Linked DNA regions of Sus scrofa. The protein of the gene in region 1 purifies or fractionates together with the protein of each later gene. This does not show direct contact. Links are inferred from orthologs where the notes say so. Each region holds a gene or a part of one and is shown on either strand. Other genes may lie near its edges.

Region 1 (5,481 bases):
CAACAGCAAGCAGTGCCTCTGAGTGCAGAAACCTAGGAGGAGCAGGAGTGGTGGGGGTGACAGAGAGTCACTGGCAGTCACTCAGTCGGGGATGGGCTGTCTCACCACCCACCGCCGCCGCCATCACCACCACCACCACCAGAGCCCACGGACCGGATGTCCCGCACCGCCTCCATGACGTTGATCTCGCACATAAGCTTCTTTGTCACCCAGTCGAGGGCGGCCACATGACCCCGTCGCCCTCCCAAAGCCAGGTGCCTGTTGGAGGTGGAGGACAGGCAGGGTGTCAGTACAGGGAGCACCCTGCCTCTGAGGTCTGCCCTCACCAGCTTCCCTCCACGCTCACCCTCACACGCGAGCAGGTCACAAGAGTCTCCCACATCAACAGCCCAAATGTACGCTCATGTATGTACACATAGGTATATACACACCCAAACATGCACACAACGCGTCAGGGGTGGGCAAGGCTGCAGCAATGAAGGAGACTCAACCACACCCTAGTTCAAATCACTGGAAGTCAACCTTACCTCCCTGTTCGAGAGTAATTCAGCCTGTAGGGTCCAAACTGCCTCAAGTTCAAGTCAAAGTGCTGGAAAAGGGAATAGCGGAGAAAAAAAGAAAGAAAAAAATTGGGTCCCTTCAGTAATATTTTCTTCTAGCCCCACTTCCATCCTGCTCTGCACCCCAGTCAGCCCGCTGGATCCTTTTACACCCTCAGGCTCACCTTGGCTGCACTTGCAATATCCACAGCCTCTGCGATGTCAGCCTGGCGTATCCTTGCTGTGTCCTCCCCATCCTCACCTTCCAGAAACCTGCCAGTGAATGTCAGGGTTGCATTCAGCTTTCCGATGTGAAGTCAGTGTATCAACATAAAAGTGAGAAATGAGAGCCTCATAAACCAGGAGCTGGGGAGGCCCACATTACGGTCCACTTACCCAGGTTCCTCAGCCAGCAGCAGCTCAGAACGAGCAGCTTTGACGCTTATTTCCTCTTCCTCAGCTTCAGCAGCATCAAGCCGGCTTTGGGCTTTGGACTTGGAACGGGGCAGCTACAATCATTGGTGGGAGAGGAATGGGCGAGTATGGGGGTTACAGGAGAGCCACCTGACCGCGCCTCCATCCAGCTCACCCAGACACTCCCTGCCTGCAACTCCTCCCCACTCTCCGACCGGTTCTCACCTTTTTGGATTTGTCGATGCGACGGAACTTTCGAACTACCTCCACAGGGACAGGGGCGGGGCCTGCAAACGGGTCCTGGGCCTGGGACAGGAATGGGGCAATTAGTAAACAGGCTCGGGTTGATCCCAACTCTCGTACCCTCAAAGCACGAGGAGACTTGCCTCGCCACCGTATAAGGTCCCAGGCTCACCCCAGACAAGCTCCGCTGAGGGCCTGGACTCCTCCATTCTTGGGATTTCTTTGGGACCTGGGGCTTCTTGGGGAACCGAGACTTCTTTTGGATGGGAGCGTTCTTTGGCTTCTGAGGGCGGGCCTCTCGATTCTTCTTCTGTTTACGAGGGGGACCCGGAGAGGCTCCGGCAGCTGTCGGAGCGGTCTCTTCCTCCCAGTATCGCCGAGGTTTCTGCTGGCAGATCAGGACCCCTGATATTCCGCTGCCTCCTCCCCGCCCCTCCAACCCCTCAGCCAAAAACTTTCCTTTCAACCCAAGGAGGTCTCTACCTTTCTCTTGGCCTGAAGTCTGTCCTTCTTGGGCGGGACATCACTGCCAGGCTTGGGGGCTGTCTCCATCAAGCCCACCCGAACCGCGACACACGTGCAAACTCCTCTCAGCTGTCCCACAGTCGGATTGAAAACTCCCGGAAGTCTTCCGGCCCTCATCCAATCAGCTCCGCCCCAGGTTCGAAGCCCTCGAGGCGCCATCTTGGGTGAGGGCGCTCTCTCCAGTGAGGTGGGGGGCAGACCTTGGCCCCGCCCCCGTGAGGCAGTTTATGCTTGAGTAATGAAAGAGAGGTGGTCCGGAGCCAGGACTCAAGTTGACTGTGCAGTTCCTTTTTCCAGCTTCGTTTCCGCATGTTGCCTAGAACGTTCCGAGTCCAGCCTTTTAGAAAAACGCCACTCGTCTAACAAGTGAGAACTACAGTTCCCGGCATGCGTCAGACGAGAGCTTCCGGCGCCGTCTCTTCCCAGCATTCTCTGTTTACTTCCGGGTTCACCAACACTGAAAGAAGAACGTGAGTAGATAGAGCAGGCGTTCGGTTGAGGGCTCTGGGGTCTCTTTTCCCCCGCTGCCGCCTAGAGCAGGGGTGGAGTCGATATCTCGGACGGGGGGAGACTGCGGTGCCCCGAGGGGCTGCTTCTCAAGAGGGCTGTCATTTCCGCAGGCCGGAAAGGGGAGCTCGGGTACCTTCCAGAGTGTGCAACCCAGCGCCCCTCTCCCTCTTCCCGCGGAGTTTCGTCCTCGCCATGGCTGAGCTGATCCAGAAGAAGCTACAGGGAGAAGTGGAGAAATATCAACAGCTACAGAAGGGTAGGGGAACGGGGTTGTCCCGGTTCTCTCACTACCCGAAGCCTTACAAGATGCGTCCTGCCCCTCTCCATCCCACCCGTGCCCCTTCCCCACCTCCATGGTGTTCCCGTCCTTGTCGCTCCATTTCTCACCAGGACGGTAGGGATTGGGTGGCATATCTGATGTCTTTAATCAAGTCTTCCCTCCCACCCGCCAGACTTGAGTAAGTCCATGTCAGGGAGGCAGAAACTAGAAGCACAACTAACAGAAAATAATATCGTGAAGGAGGTGAGAGCACAGGATTTGTGGGGCGAGGAGGGAACTTGTCCTGGCAATGTTTCTGATCACAGATGTCCTGCCCCTCCATCAGGAACTGGCCCTGCTGGATGGATCCAACGTGGTCTTTAAACTTCTGGGTCCCGTGCTGGTCAAACAGGAGCTGGGAGAGGCTCGAGCCACAGTGGGGAAAAGGCTGGACTACATCACAGCTGAAATGTGAGTCTTTGTTCCAGCACCTTCTGACAGACATGCCACGGTGGAAGACGTGTTGAGAAAGCCTTGTAGAGTAGCTTCCAGAGCTGTTCCCACCACCACCACCACCCAGTTCCTCCAGCCGCTTTCCTTTTAACCCCTCTTCTCCTCCCTCCCTTGGATCTCACGTTCCCCACCAATCTCCTTCCTGCCTTCAGCATCCTCAGCAGTAAGTCTCATTAAGACCTCACCGTTTTTGGTGTTCTGTCTTCCTCAGTAAGCGATACGAATCCCAACTCCGGGAACTGGAGCGCCAGTCAGAGCAACAGAGGGAGACCCTGGCTCAGCTGCAGCAGGAGTTCCAGCGGGCCCAGGCAGCCAAGGCAGGGGCTCCTGGGAAGGCCTGACCCTGTGGAGGGGGGAGGGAGGGGGTGGGAATGAGGCAGCTCAAGGGTCTCTACTGTAGTGAATAAAATGTGAAAACACCTGGCTGTTTTCTCACCAGCCACTTCTGTTGTAATCATCTCCACCTTTTCCCCTGGTCCCTTCTCCCCTTATATGTTTATCGCTTCTGTGACTCCCTCAGGTCCAGACTCTTGCAACTGGGCACTCTGAGGCCGAGTAAGCCTTCTTTATTGAGACTGAAATATGAAATATCTCAAATCTCATTTTTCCTGTATATGCAGCCCTTAGGTCTCCATTATCCTGGTTGGAAACATGAGAAGGGCATTTGCAATGCAGTGGTTTTGGGTAAAGTGAGTTTAATTGAACTCAGAATTTTCTAAGCTGTGACCCCAGAATGAAACATGGGGACCCTCCCTGCTGATTTCCCATCATCTTCAAAATAGCCCTGGCATCCCTCTAATTCGTTTTAGTCTTTTTTTCTTAGAATTTGCTTGAATGTAGCTTAAACTGATTTAAAATCTCAACACCTAACGCTCTGATATCATACGTCCTCCATGTTTATACGTTGTCCACAATGTTGTTCTTCCGTTTCTTTGTCCTCAAATTGTTTCTTACACATTCACAGGTGTGGGGGTTTTTGCACGGATCACTTTAATCAGGTGGCTAGAACTTGACAAGGTTTTGTAACAGCTGAGGAGAAAAGTTTAAGAGCAAATAAAGGGATGGAGAGGTTGCCAGGGAGGCAGAAACCATACTGAGGAGACCATCTCCAGCAGCTCCTCGCTTTCAGCTCTTCATGGACGGAAAACACAGCCCCTCTTATTCCACAGTATCCACTCTCAGCCTGCCCCCCTGCCCCCGCCCCCGCAGCATCAGTGGCCCACGCTGCAAGGAATAGAATTCAGGTAGTGTTTTGGTTTATTAGTGTTGTCACAGTGACAGGAATCCCTAGAGCAGGAAAAGGAACTCCTACTTGCCATTCCCTTTGCCTGGGGCTCAGAGCCTCTAGGCTTTTCCCTTCTCCCACTTCTAGGCCCTTCTTGGGCCTGGGCATGCGAGGGTGTGGCCAGGTGTCAGGAACCAGCTGTGTGCCACACTTTTGGAAATCGGGAAGAGCTACACACAGGTTGTCCACCTTGGGATCCGAGGTGACCAGTCCCACAGGCTGGGTCTTGGCTGCCTGGTAACCTGGCAGCACTTCACTGCCCCAGGGTAGTTGGCCGCCTTGCTGGATTTTCTCCCAACGTAGCGCCCCCGTCTGGTATGGCCGCAGTGAGTTCTGTGAGCCGAGGCTCTCCCCTCAGAACAGTGCCCGGGCAATCTTCCTCCCCGTGGCTTTGATCCTGGGGAAGGAGCCCCCTCCCCCCGCGCTCGGGGGCGTCCCCGAGGCAGAGGGGCCCAGCGTAGCAGTAGAGGGCCTGCGCCGCTGCCGCAGGAGGAAATCGTGGGACGCACCATCCATGGCGTAGAAGACGTTGGCCGAGGCGGGGATGGTCAGCTCTGGAGGTTCCAAAAGGGGTGTCAGGCACAGCCCCGGGAAGGGATGGGGGGGTGAGGAAGCACCCCACCACAGCACCGCTCCCCTGCCCCCAGCCTCTGACCTCGCTCCCCTGGTAGCAGCTGCACCAGCTCATACTCTGAAGCCACTGCAGAATCACGATTGTTTTTCTTAAGGACACGACTGATGACACTTGGAGCTTTGTCCTGGCTTGTTACCTGGCAGGACAGCAGACCAAAAGGGCAGTAAATTGGCCATGATGACCTTTGCTTTCCATCTTCCCAACCATAGCCAGCGATCCCAACCAGAAAAGGCTACCTGTCCAAGCCCTTCGAGTAAACAGGACAGCCCTCTGTGGTGGCCCCTGTGCTGCACCTGCCAGCCCACATGCTTTCAGGGCTGTTCCCTGTGCAGAGATTGCTGTTGGCTCTGAAAACCTAACAGCCTCTGGAAGCTCAGGTGCAGCAGCTAATGCAAAGTAACCTTCTGAATAAAACATGGCCGCTAAAACCAAGGGTCAGTGAAAACCAAAACCTTCCTCCCGCTTGGTTCTTGAAACCACAGGGCACCATCCCTCACCCTCGCCCCCACCCCCAGCCTGCAGCTCCCTCACCAAGATGCTCTTGTAGACACTGCCGTCT
Region 2 (5,985 bases), on another chromosome or scaffold:
GGGATCAGATTGGAGTTACAGCTGCGACCTCAGCTGCAGCTGCAGCAATGCTGGATCCCTAATCCACTGTGCCGGTGGGGTTTGAACCCTCATCCCAGTGGCTCCCAAGACTCCACTGGTCCCGTTGCGCCACAGTGGGAGCTCGGGTCTTTTTTTTTTTTTTTGAGTGGAGACAAGTAGGACATTTTAGGCACCTCCTCTAACTCTAAACAAAATTTTGAAACCTTACTAGTAGGTGAGAACAAAGCCAGAGTAGAAGTTAAATAGCAGCTTTTGCCATGCATTGCAGCCACAAAAATTATTATTCAAGTATTAAGGCATAAATTTGACAGGATGTGAAAGTCATTCTAGGCTCTTCAACAAGAGTACCTAGGAGCTTTTTGAGTTAAGGGTACCCAAGGGTCAGATTTGGCTTGGTGTGTGCCTCTGTCATGATATAATTCTTCTTCCAGTGTTTCAAATATTTTCTTTTTTGTCCTTCTCTTAAAATATGCATTTTCTGAATATTACTATAGACAGCAGAACGGAAAGGTTTTTGAACTAGAAGTCAAGAAATGGACTTAAGAGCTCACTTTTAGACCTCTTAGTTGTTCAACCATGTGCAAGTCATTTATATCTCTTTCAAACATTTAGTTACTTAATTTATAAGCTGTGGTGATGAAACTGCTTGCCCTAACTCAGGATTGTTGAGAAGAGTAAATGAGGTATTTATTATTACATCTATTAGTGTTCTCATATTAATATTTACATATTAATAGTTCAAAAAATGTGGGAAAGTGCTTTGAAAACTAGTTGTAAAATATAAATGTAGTGAGTAGTTACATTTATGGTTCTTGTTTTGGATCTCTGGGTTTCATCCGCTGACTGTTGCATTTAGTGCCTATATTACTCCTTGGGTACCTGCTACTTGATATGTTTATTATTTACCATGTCTTTGTTCTGCTGCTTCAAATAGACAGCATCTTTTGAGGACTGGGTAAATTCAAAACAGTTGACCCTTGAACAACACAGGTTTAAACTGCGGGGATCCAATTGTACATAGATTTTTAAAGGTATTACTACAGTACCACACACTGTGTGATTGGTTGAAATCCAGATGTAGAACCAAGGATACAGAGGAACTGCTATATGGAGGGTCAGCTGTAAATTACACTGGGATTTTTTTTTTTTTTTGGCCATGCCTAAGGCATGTGGAAATTTCTAGCCCAGGGACTAAATGTGCTCCACAGCTATAACCAGAATCACAGCAGTGACAACTCCAGATCCTTAACCTCCTAGCCAGGAGGAAACTCCTGTACTCAGCATTTTGACAACATGGAGAGTCAGTGCCCCTAAGCCTTGAGTTGTTCAAGAGTCAAGAATATTTAGCATAGTGGCTTGATCATTTATAATTATATGAACGTTTATTGATGTTTGCGCAGGTAACAAACATCAAATTTTATAACTTTGTCTCAGCAGGCTTTATTTTAATATGTTTAAATTTGACTTAAATATTTTCTGTAAAATGTTTCACTTACTAAATCAAGGACTTTTTTTTTTTTTTTTAAGGCCTTCACAGAGCTTCAAGCTAAAGTTATTGACACTCAACAGAAGGTGAAGCTTGCAGACATACAGATTGAACAGCTCAACAGGACAAAAAAGCATGCACATCTTACAGATACGGAGATTATGACTTTGGTAGATGAGACCAACATGTATGAAGGTGTAGGAAGAATGTAAGTAAAATATATCCTTAAGGGGGTTATCTTGGAAGAGGTTTTGTCTGGATTAAATTGTAAAATTTGTTCACTTTAAAATTTAAATTAAAATATCAGAGTAGCTTTAAAGATTGTCTAGTCAATATCTTCTTTTTTTTTTTTTAAATGAGAAACTGATGTCTTTAATTTTTTTCTTTCTTTTTTTTTTTTTTTTTTTGTCTTTTGTCCTTTCCTAGGGCCGCTCCCACGACACATGGAGGTTCCCAGGCTAGGGGTCAAATCGGAGCTGTAGCCGCCGGCCTACACCAGAGCCACAGCAACGCAGGATCTGAGCTGCATCTGAGACCTACACCACAGCTCAGGGCAATGCTGGATCCTTAACTCATTGGGCAAGGCCAGGGATGGAACCCGAAACCTCATGGTTCCTAGTCGGATTCATTAACCTTTGAGCCGCAATGGGAACTCCTAATTTTTAACTTTGAAGTACATTTTTAAAATATTTATTTCCCTGTTCTTCTCTCTACTTACGTACATAAGCGTGTAACTTGAATGATAAAAACATGATTTGTTATGAAAAGATGTTTATAGTAGTTTTATGGGTGAAGATTGATTTAAGCAGTTGTAGTTTTAACCTCCCCTTAGCAACCTAATTATTAGTAGTCATTCACATTATAAATCTTTTAGTTGTTTGACTAGTGTTGTGAAATAAAAATACTCAGTTGTCATTTAAATACACTCATTCTGTCATACATGAGAAATCTAGTAAATCAATTTACCTATTGTTCTAATTATTATTATATGATTAACCACCTACATTTCACTTTTTTCCTTTTAAAAATATATTACCCTTATGGGAGTTCCTGTCGTGGTGCAGTGGTTAACAAATCCGACTAGGAACCATGAGGTTGAGGGTTCTATCCCTGGCCTTGCTCAGTGGGTTAAGGATCCAGCATTGCCCTGAGCTGTGGTGTAGGTCTCGGATGCAGCTCGGATCCTGCGTTGCTGTGGCTCTGGTGTAGGCCGGCGGCTACAGCTCCGATTTGACCCCTAGCCTGGGAACCTCCATATGCCGCGGGAGCGGCCCTAGAAAAGGCAAAAAGACCAAAAAAAAAAAAAAAAAAATTACTCTTTTGAGAAAAAATAGACCTGCTTTTTGTTTTCTAAGTAGTTAAATAGGAATGGAGAAGCCCTTAGCTACAGGTCACATTCCATCACAATGAGCTCAAAGAGACAGATTTTTTTTTTTTTTTTTTTTTCTTTAAATAAGTAAGAGAGGTACAGGAGGAGGGTTTTCTGAATTTTGGTCTTTGAATATTACTTACTAAGTGGACCATTACTTAAGTTTGGAGATCTTTTAGTTAGAAAGGAATTTGACCTCAGTCTTAGGATGACTTGTTTTGTGATTGATTGGAAGGAAGCATAACATGTGTAACATTTAGTAATGGCTTTGGAATGACATCATGAGAAATAGATCCTACTCTTGACTAGCTAATCCATATCTTTCTGGAAAAGAGATAGAATATGATAAACTGATTTGCTTTCTCAGAATAAATAATATACCACAAATAAATTTTATCTCCAGAGTTCATATTTTTCATTTTAGCTTGTTTTAAAAGGAGATTCTGAGAGTGTGTTATTGGGACACAAATTGGAATGAGGACAGAGTAGAACCCTTGAATGTGTCTATGCAGTGTGAACTGTGTTGTTGTATTTGCTATGGGATAATTTTATCCTTAATGTGAATATCCTTAAGTCTTAAGCTTTTCTAGCATGCTTGTTAATGTCGCACTTGGATTTCACATCATTACTTTAGCCTTTGTTCAAAACAGCTAAAGAATCTCTTTCCAGAATAGAAAAATTCTTTGATTATCTTTGTCCTTTCGATCTACAGTGAAGTTTTAATTTTTTATTAGAATAATTTAATTTATTAAACATTCTGCAGAAATGATAGGAGAGTTACTTTTTTTGCGTACTGCCCAAAGTGCTCCATATATGTTGTATTCCACACAAAGAACTGTAGAGTTTAAAGACTGGGATATGAATTAGTTAATGGTGGAGTTCCCGCTGTGTTTCAGCAGTAATGAACCCAGCTAGGATCCATGAGGATGTGGGTTCAATCCCTGGCCTTGCTCAGTGGGTTATGGATTCGGCATTGCCATGAGCTGTGGTGTAGGTTGCAGACGTGGCTCAGATCCCTTGTTGCTGTGGCTGTGGTGTAGGCTGACAGCTGTAGCTCCAATTCGACCCCTAGCCTGGGAACCTCCATGTGCTGCAAGTGCGGCCCTAAAAAGCAAAAAAAAAAAAAAAAAAAAATTAGTTAATGGTAGAACCCCTGTTCTACAGATGTGTTTACAGATTTGTTTCATGTAAATTATGCTTCTTAAATGTGTAGTTTTAAATGTTTAGATAAAGTGGAATACTTAAATGGTTTCAGACTGGTTCTAAATTTGACTTTTGTATTTTCTGCATCTCACTGGGGGGGTGTGAATTTGAAACTTGCATTTGTAGGGGCATGTAAGGTAGTGTTTATTGTTTGGCTGGAGTATTAGTGCCCTCAGGAAGAAAAGACTTGCTGAGTATTAGTCTGGTCATGAGTTCTCCTTCTTGATGCTAAACCTGAAATATCTATTTCTGCATTTATAGTCTTGAGTAATCTTGAGTATCATTGTGATTCACTTCTTTAATTCTAGTCTTTACCTTCATTTGACTTTTCTTTTTCCTTTTTAATATTATTTGGAAGTTTTAATTAGAATACTAAATTTTCTCAGTTGTCTTAAAATCAATAATTACGGAATCTAAAACAGTATAATTTTTTTAGAACCTGCAGTAGATTTATGTCATCCCTGAAATTCAGGCCTCATTGTGTCTAGCTCTGGACTATTGTAATAGCTTCTTAACTGTTGTTTCTGTCTTTATTCTCTTGGTCCAAATGCTTTCTTCATACATCTGCCAGAATTGATCACGTCATTATCCTTCATAAAATCTTCTGTTTTTCTTTACTTGCCCATGGGAAAAAGTCTAAACTCATTGGTCTAGCATTTACCATTATCATAACCTGTCCTTAATTTACCCTTCTAGCCTCAAATCCCACTCTTTCTATTCTCAGGTCAGCACATAGATTTCATCTCATAGATTTAACTCCATCCGTTGGTTTTGGGTTACCTTTGAGAAGGAATTTGAGTCTCATGTGGGTTTAAACATGTTTTAATTGATTAGTGATGTCTGTCTCGGGGTGAGGTAGAAGAGTAGTAGCACATATACCCCAAATTATTATCTCTACCCTTGGTGCATAGGCTTCCTCACACATGCCATGTTTTTGTGCTTTCTTGATTTTGCTAATTCTGTCCTTGGGCTGCAGGATCCTAGTTTCTCTTGTGAAATTTGCATCCTTCAAGACATAATTCATCTTTTCTCAAGATTTTTCCATCTTCCCTGGCAGCTTATTCACACTTTAAGTGATACCAGGAATTTTGTTCCTGTGGTTAGTAGAGCACATGGGCGGGTGGGGGGGCTGGGGGGTTGGGGGGTAGGGGTAGAGGGCAGAAATGGACAGAGTTTGAAATGGTATTGTCTCCTCAAGTATGTTGTCAGCTCTCTGAGACCATATACATATTTATTTTTGTTTTCTCAGTTCTCAGCATAATGTCTGGCACAAAATAGGTATTAAATGTACATTGATTTGAATTGAATATGATTCTCTTGTCTAAAATAACTGCATTTTCTTTTGGTTCTTTAGAAAGAAAATGTTTAGAAAGTGTCAGTAAGGATTGGAGTTTAGGAGTTCCTGTTGTGGCTCAGTGGTCACAAACCTGACTAGTATCCATGAGGACGTGGGTTCCATCCCTGGCCTTGCTCATTGGGTTGAGGATCCAGTGTTGCTGTGAGCTGCCATGTAGGTTGAAGACGTGGTTTGGATCCCAAGTTGCTGTTGCTGTGGTGTAGGACGGCGCTGCAGCTCTGATTCGATGCCTAGCCTGGGAACTTCACATTTTGCAGGTGTGGCCCTAGAAAGACCAAAAACAAACAAACAAACAAACAAACCAAAGAATTGGAGTTTATTATGCTGTTTGTTTATTTATTTATTAGCTGCTCCTGGGGCATATGGGAATTACTGGGCCAGTGACCCAAGATGCTACAGTGATCCTTAACCTATTGTGCCACCAGACAACTCCTACTTTTTATTTTATTTTTTTATGGGTGCATCCAGGCCATATGAAAGTTCCTAGACCAGGGATCAAATCTGAGCTGCAGCTGTGACCTACCAGTGCAGCTGTGGCAACACTGGATC

Evidence for each region. The genes of interacting proteins can lie anywhere in the genome.
Region 2: the proteins of PFDN6 (region 1) and PFDN1 purify together in Homo sapiens (affinity purification with mass spectrometry; 6 studies listed by BioGRID and IntAct, with this or other methods). This does not show direct contact. The link is inferred for Sus scrofa from reciprocal best matches to the Homo sapiens genes PFDN6 and PFDN1.

Annotation. Positions count from the first base shown.
Region 1 is NC_010449.5:29,651,501-29,656,981, forward strand, and holds PFDN6 (prefoldin subunit 6), read left to right. Parts: upstream 1-2,191; intron 2,192-2,198; exon of another isoform or gene 2,199-2,341; coding exon of another isoform or gene 2,342-2,423; coding exon 2,424-2,487; intron 2,488-2,683; coding exon 2,684-2,754; intron 2,755-2,836; coding exon 2,837-2,961; intron 2,962-3,214; coding exon 3,215-3,344; 3' UTR 3,345-3,445; downstream 3,446-5,481. Other genes in the region: WDR46 (WD repeat-containing protein 46), read right to left, coding at 1-32, 154-258, 528-589, 725-812, 936-1,048, 1,179-1,259, 1,369-1,584, 1,680-1,880. UniProt on the Homo sapiens protein: Binds specifically to cytosolic chaperonin (c-CPN) and transfers target proteins to it. Binds to nascent polypeptide chain and promotes folding in an environment in which there are many competing pathways for nonnative proteins.
Region 2 is NC_010444.4:142,070,371-142,076,355, reverse strand, and holds part of PFDN1 (prefoldin subunit 1), read left to right. Parts: intron 1-1,548; coding exon 1,549-1,715; intron 1,716-5,985. UniProt on the Homo sapiens protein: Binds specifically to cytosolic chaperonin (c-CPN) and transfers target proteins to it. Binds to nascent polypeptide chain and promotes folding in an environment in which there are many competing pathways for nonnative proteins.